Linked DNA regions of Rhinolophus ferrumequinum. The protein of the gene in region 1 purifies or fractionates together with the protein of each later gene. This does not show direct contact. Links are inferred from orthologs where the notes say so. Each region holds a gene or a part of one and is shown in the gene's direction. Other genes may lie near its edges.

Region 1 (3,745 bases):
TTCTTTCCATCACCACCTTGATTAATTCATTAATGATTTTTTCAGGCTAGTTTTTATTCAGGCACTTTGGGACACTGTGAGTCAGAGGTTGGCATCAAAACCAGAATAGAAGCCATTGTCCTCCCTGGGGATCCTACTCTGGGCTTTAAATTCCCAGATCACACAACTTCCTAATTGGAAAGAAATGTTTTTAAACAAGAACATAGGTTTTGCCAGGCCTCACAGTGACTAATAAGGTTGGTCTAAGGACTGTCTGATGAGAGAGTGGATTCACATGTCACAGTGAATTTTTAAAGTATTTTCCCCCCAGAGGTTTACTGCTGAATATAAATAAAATCTCTCTCCTTGGGTAATCCCATCCCAGCTCCTGCAGATATGCCTTCGTTAATTAAATTAACTTTGAAATAACATTCAAACAATGTCTTCCTTCCAAATGCCTTTTTCTCCAAGATCTACTTATTGACAAGCTGTTTCACAAGTTCCTGTGTAAACTGATTGAGTGTCCCATCCCCAGCCTGCATACTAACAGGAGACAAATTTTATCTTCTCTGTAGTCAGTATCGGGTAGCCCACACATTGTATTCATTTAACTGTATACAGAAAGGCCGACAAATTTAAAATAACAACAATTAAAAAATTTAAAAACTAGGTGCTTAAATAGGATCCAGATAAATACAAACTTTAAATCTCATTTGCTGAAATTCACACAGCTGAAGGCAAATTCCTGAGTTCAGGAGAGGACTTTTTTTTTTTTTTTTAATTAGTCTCTTTCAAAAATCAGGCATTCGCGTTCGTAATTAAAGCGGCTCTTGGCTTAAATCCATTCGGTCCGAAGCTGCGGTTCCCCTCCAGGGAGCGGGCGCGCAGGCGCGGGCACGCACACGTGGGCACACAATCGCTCACACGCGCCCGCCCACACCCCCTTCCTTATTCATCGCCAGAGGGATTTACGGGCTTCGCCAGCACGCATTACTGTCAGGTGCAAAAAGCAAGCCTTTCTTCGGTGGGCATTTTCCTCCCCCGGGATTGACTTATTTACGGGCCACGTGAGCGCTGGGTGGGGGTCGGCCCGCCGGGAGGCGACCCCAGCGCAGGGGAGACAAAGGCTGGCAGGACGCGGCCAGCGCGGCCCAAGGACGTCTCCCCAGCTCCTACAACATATGCGAAATTGGCCTGGACCTGCCTCGCCTGAGAGGCTCTTCCAAGCCCTTGTGAAGGCGTCGACGTTTCCCTGGGCAGGGAGAAGTCCCGGCCCCGGGGCCTGGCAGGGGCGGGATTCCTGGTCTGCCCGGGACAGCGGATGAGCCCGGGACGGTCGGGGCATGGGGGGCTCCTTGGAAAGCGCGTTTTCTGGGAGTACCAGGGAGAGCCAGGCTTTAGACAGAACTTCACAGCCACCTCAGCCTATGAGAAACCGGACCCAAGCCCCTTTTGACCTCGGGAGCGAGTACAAACCCGTCCCCACCGGAGAGGCCACGCAATGAGCCTTTGACCGCTGGCTTCCACCCGGAGTGCCCAGCGCCCGAGGTCCCGCCACCCGGAAGCCTCCTTCGATCCGCCGTTGTGGCTCCTTCCAGGGCTGGAACTAGAGTGAGCAGTGCGCCTCGGACGCAAAATTTAAGGAGCACCAAAAAGTCTGCGGTCAAAATAAATAGTATCTTCATGCAATGATTTTTAAGCAATTAAAATTAATGCAAAAAATTGTGATGAACAAAATATTAAATTCTAAATAGGGACACAGGATCACTGCAATACCGTGCTGAGCAATTTTGTAGTCCCAGGTAAAGGAAGATCCCCGGGCGGGGGAGTCGGGTTGCCCTAGGCCTCGGAAGTGGAGGCCCCCTGCGGGCCTCCTAGGGGAGTGGAGGGATGGCCCTGGGGGCCGGAGGTGAGAGCTTAGGCGAGGCGCTCCGCGGAGAACAAAGGCGGAGCGGAAAGCCTAGTTGGAGGCCGGAGAGACCCAGCAGGTTCCGCGACGAATGGTTCCTGGGGCCGGGCTTCCACGCGGACCTGGAGTGGAAGATTCGACCCGCTGCCACCGAGGCCGCGAGCGAGTCCTGCAATACCCCGCTCGTTGATTAATTCTCACTAACAAGACTTGGCAAGATGTCGGGCGAATAATTTTTGGCTTCTGGCGTGTCCCCACCGCGGCGCTTATAAACCCCCAGCCAAAAGCGGCCTCTGGGAAATTAAATGCATAAGTAAAACTGGGGGCGGGGAAGAATGCTACATGACCTGGAAAGCGGGATGCAGAGACCCGAATCGCCCCAGAGCTTATTTCTTTGCGCGTAGATTTCTCAGGGTCTAGCTTCGCACAAAATGTGGACCCTCAGTGTCATTTACTGATAAGACAACTCACAAGTGTGCAGGATGGGGTGGGGACTTTTCCAAAGCCGAAAACGTCGGGTTTTTTTTGTCCCCTAACCCTCTACCCCCGGGTTAAACAAGTATCTTTAGAAAGCGTGGACTGGAGGGGCACCCCAGCCTTTCTCCAGAGGAACAACATTCCGGCAATGAATGCCTCCCTCTGGCTCGTAAAGAGACAGACCCAACACCTCGCTCCCATTACTGGGCTTCGGCGGGAGAGCTTTCTCTTTCATCTTCTAAGTTGGGGCTTGCCCACGTCCTCGGGAAGCTGTAAAGCTGATTTAATGGCTTAAGATGAAAATCGATCACGCTAATGCATAAGCTAACGTCAGAGGAATCGCATTTGAAAAAAACGACTGGCCGGCCGGGCCGAACGCGCTCTGTAAGCTTGGAGCGAGGAGGTCCGAGGCCCTGCTGTCCGGGTAGCCGTGCCACGGTCCCTTCCTCTCCCGAGCCGGGGAGGAGGCCTGCGAGGCCGTTAAAGGTAAAGCACAGAGGTAAAAAGGGATGAAATCTCAAAACCGAGCCCTGGCCTCGGTTAGGTCGGATTCGCGACGAGCTAATTTCTTTTCGCCTAATGCCGCAGCCGGGTGGCATGGCTGCACCGCGACTCGTGCGGAGCAAGACTGGCGCGGCGGAGGCCAGGACCCGCGGGCTGAAGACTAGAGGCGTCGCTGCGCTCCATTCACAAAGTCCGGGAGCGCAGCTCGCCTGCGGGTCGAAGGCCGCCTCCCTCTTCCTCTAGGTCCAGGTTTTATGAATGGGCCTGGCGGCGAGCGCCTAGCTCCCTGTTTACTCCGCTCTTTGTGACGTCTCGTTCCCGTGACTGGGAGCGAGCGCCTGGCACTCCATTCACGCGCCGGGTAGGGGGTGGGAGGAGGGGCCCACTGGGAGGAAGGAGCAGGGATGGGGCGGGGAGCAGGCAAGGGGGGCGGGAGGCGCGAGGTCCCGAATGGAAAGAGGCGGGGCCTCATAAGGTAGTACTGAATCTGCCTCCTCCCGGGAGGGAGCAGAGGAGCGTTAATAAATCTCTAAGCGGAGGAGGAAACTCCGGCTGGGGTAGGGAGCCGAGCTCCGGCTTCTTGTGGGGAACGGCAGCGGAGCCGTAACGCCGGTGCCGTCAGGAGCAGCACAACCGGCCAAATACAAAGAGGCCACATCAGAAGGGAACCCTTGGCCCTTTGCCGTAAACACAGCCCCCTCCACCGCCGACTGCCCCTCGCACCGCGCGCGGTACTGTCTGGCTCCCGAGGCCGCTAGGACTGCTATGTGATTGCCAGACTGCAGGAGGAAGGGGACTGGGGAGAAGAGGGTCGTCGGTGAGAGCCCCTGGGGGCCAAGTTTGCTGCCACTTCTGCACGTGCCCTCCCTTAGCCCT
Region 2 (3,745 bases), on another chromosome or scaffold:
GCAAAGTCTGAGCACTCCAAAGGATGCACAACACAAAAGAGAATAGTCACGGGAAGTGAAGAACATTGTCCTGGCTTGGACCTAGTTATTTCTAAGCAAAATAACTATGAGAATAAGATAGGGTCCAACTCTTCTGCTTATTGTAACAAGCTTCAGCATATGGATAGGGTTATACTAACTTGCCCAATCACATTTATTATCTTGGTCAGCTTGATAAATGACCCTACTAGGTGGGAAGGTAAGACAGGAATTCTCTTTTGCAGAACTAAGGTCTAAGAAAGGCCCACTGACTTGCCTAAGAAGACACTGTCAGAAGACTACTCTGCCCTTTTCTTACTCTGAGAGGCATGAATTAAATCCTCAAAATCTTCTTCAGTGGAAGCTCTTCATGTCAGGAGTCAATTTCAAACCCTCAACGTAGTGGTTTTAAAAATGCTTTTCTAAGGGAAAAGCATCAGAGACTTCCCTGAATCAGAAATGCCTGAGGCATATTGTAAAATTGCACATTCTTGGTGCCCATCACAGACTAATCCAATCAGACTCCTTGTGTGTCCTGGGAATCTGCATTTTTAAACTCCCAATGTGATTCTTTTGCACATAAAAGTTTGAGAACTACTAGGAGAGTTTGGGTGCAAAATCTCAGCCTTAATGAAGGGCTAATATTTGCTTTTGGGACAGATTTCATCAAAATTCTGAAGAGTAAGCCATATGTCCTTGAGCAGATGGGAATGTTACGGCTTTTTGGCCAGAATCTCTCTCTCTCTCTCTTTTTAAATGCAGTTATTTCTTGGAAATTTGGGATTCCGCTGAGCAGGTGCTCTACTGCTGGTAACTAACCACTGTTCAAAGATCTTTTGGCTCTTTTCCCCGACACCCTATCTGTCACTGTCGCTTTTCACCACGAAGCCAGGCAGTTGCTCCGCCGACCACAGTGGGGCGCACGCAGCATGTGTTGCCTGCTTATTCTCTCTTTCCCCGGTCCGCCTTCGCGCCCTTAATAAGAACATACCCCGAGAGTTCCTGCCTCTGGTCTCCAGCTGTTGCTCTCTTCTCGCGAGAATTGCTACTCCCGTCCTCTCCCCTCCTCAAGCCCCTCCCGTGGGTAGGTTCCATATTGGGTAAAATCTCGGCTCGCGTAGAGTCTCGGGAGCTGTTCTCGCGAGAGTACGGCGGGAGGCTCCTGTTCGCTGGCTCTGGAACGGCGACCACTGAAACCTCAGCGGGCACAGCTGCTGTAGCCCTAGTCCCGTGGCGTAGCCCAGAGTCGGCCTGGTCCGGAGAGGGTGCAGGGAGAGCGTGGCCGGCGCAGCCCTGAGCGCCGGAGCGCGCCCCTGCTCTTAGCAGGGCTTGCCCTCGTCGTGCAGGCGCGTCCAGCCGCTGCAGCTGACAGGGGCAGCGCGCGCGGGAGTCGGCGGGGTCGCGGCAGCCGCACCTGCGCGTGCGGCCAGTGCGGGATCCCAGCCCCACCCGGCGGGCAACGAGGGCCAGGGAGCGGGTGCGGGTGCAGGCGGGGCCCGCGGAGGGCCACCTCCTCGCCCCGCGGCCGCTGCTGGAAGATGTCTCAGGAAAGGCCCACGTTTTACCGGCAGGAACTGAACAAGACTATCTGGGAGGTGCCTGAGCGTTATCAGAACCTGTCCCCGGTGGGCTCCGGCGCCTATGGCTCCGTGTGGTGAGTGTCACTGGGCTTGGGGCTGTGGTGGCTGGCTGGCCCTGCATGCCCCAGAGCCAGGCCTGCCCCCACGGCTCAGCGATGCACCAAGCGGCAGGAATTTTCCTTGGGGGAGGGCATCGCTGCCCCTTCAACCCCTGTCCAGCACTCCCTGTGCCCCTTGCACCCCTCACCCTGCACACACCTAGGTAGGTGGTCAGCTGTGTGCAGGACGCAGGTCCACGGTGGGCGGTGGGTCGTGCTGGAGCTCAGCCCTGGCTCGCACCCTGCACATTCCTTTCTTGGGGGTTGCTGCTCCGGGGGAGGCTTTTTCTGGGGGTCTCCCTGCTGGCGTCGAGCGGGAGGACCCTCTCCGGAGGTGCGCCCATCATGGGCTCCGGAGCCTGCCCTCTGAGCAGACAAACCCGGGGAGCTGCCCCGAGAAGCAGAAGAGCAAAGCCCGACCGGGAGACGGCGGTAAACCGAACAAAACTGGCGGCGAAGGGCGTTCTGTCCTGGTTTCTTTGCAAACCTCTGTCGAAATCCCATTTTGAGAAGCGTTCTTTTTGAATTCGCACTTCAATTAGCAGCGACCCATAGAGCTTAAAATACCGACTTTATCTCGGTGAGCACTGTGCCAACTCGAGTGGTGTGTTTCCGATTCGGTTGAAAGCGTATTTCCTTTTCGCAGAGTGGGGGGTGGGTGGTAGTGCTGGCAAGAACGCTGCAGCTTGAGAAACTGGCGGCCTCGCTGATTAGTCACATACCACTGCTCATTTAAGTATTGTTTGACAAAACTATTTTCTCATTTGGTGCAAGTAAGATTCAGATCCGTTGGACGCCCTCAAGATCAAAAAGTTAGGAACAATGGTGGGAGGTATTGTAAATGTTTTTTTAATTGCGATAATTCTTGTGAATAGTACTGTGTTTTTAAAGTCCCTGAGAGAGTTTGCAGGGAACTTATCTACATTTATAGCCTGAGGACACAGTGGTTTTCGTAAGGATAGGGAATATATAAAAAAGGAAGGAAGAGACACTTTTCAGCTTTAATTCGCACTGTGAGTGTGTTTTGCATTAAATTCATACCTTAAAATTTCCGGACCTGAAGTAATTACACTAATTTCTCTAACTTCCAAGGTTTTTTCACTGTATTTTAGATTTAATGTAATTTGAGAGCTCCTGATCTGAAACTGATTCATGTAAATTCATACCCATACATCATTGGAAAGGGGTCTATATACAATTACTTTTTGTTTTGGAACAAATTCCAGGCTTTTGAACATATTAGTCTTTAAATAGAATTCCCCTGTTTCTTAAAGTCACACTCACATCATGAATTTCCTGTTCAGTAGAATCTTCTGGGTAATTGAGATTGTGCAATTGTGTCTCACAGTAGATCATATTGCATTTTCTAGTTCAAGCTGCTTGAATTATGTTGCTAAGGCACGATGCTTGACATCTTTTCCACATTTTTATAGTACAGCAGTCTACATTTTAAGGGAATTTGCAGCATTTTACTATGTGTGTGTATGTGTGTGTGTGTTATTGATTTGCTAATTTTCAAAGATGTATTTGGTCATTGCTCCTTTCATAGCTCATTAGTTTATTTTTAATTCTTGAATTGATACATTAATTTTTGTAGTACCAAGGTTTTGTTTCTAGTGTTTAAATTTGAATGGAATGAGTGATACAGCAGAGAATAGCTCAACTGTGGTGAGTTGAGCAAACTTGAAAGGAACTATTTGCAAGGTTTCCCTACTGTTGGTGTGGGTAGCTCTGCACTGGAATTGAAGATGCAGATTTACAGTGGAGTGCCATTCAAGTGAACTCCACATTTCTTTAGTGCTAGTATACTTTCTGGCTTATAGAAGCCAGGAATTTCTGACACTTGGAATAATTTTGTTACACAGGTTTTTAAAAATAGTTGATACATTACACTGTATAAAATTCAGAGGGTATAAAAGGATATTCAGTGAAAAGTCTTTTCTTCTGTTCTCCAGCCATGCTATTCCTTTCCTCAGAGACAGCCACTGTTAAGTTTGTTTTGTGTCTTTCCAAGAGGCAGAGTTGTTTTTTAGTAGTATTTCTGTAAAA

What was found. The genes of interacting proteins can lie anywhere in the genome.
Region 2: the proteins of DUSP4 (region 1) and MAPK14 purify together in Homo sapiens (affinity purification with mass spectrometry; 3 studies listed by BioGRID and IntAct, with this or other methods). This does not show direct contact. The link is inferred for Rhinolophus ferrumequinum from reciprocal best matches to the Homo sapiens genes DUSP4 and MAPK14.

What each region holds. Positions count from the first base shown.
Region 1 is NC_046287.1:68,037,973-68,041,717, forward strand, and holds the start of DUSP4 (dual specificity protein phosphatase 4), read left to right. Parts: upstream 1-754; 5' UTR 755-3,745. UniProt on the Homo sapiens protein: Regulates mitogenic signal transduction by dephosphorylating both Thr and Tyr residues on MAP kinases ERK1 and ERK2.
Region 2 is NC_046286.1:5,992,230-5,995,974, forward strand, and holds the start of MAPK14 (mitogen-activated protein kinase 14), read left to right. Parts: upstream 1-1,207; 5' UTR 1,208-1,556; coding exon 1,557-1,672; intron 1,673-3,745. UniProt on the Homo sapiens protein: Serine/threonine kinase which acts as an essential component of the MAP kinase signal transduction pathway.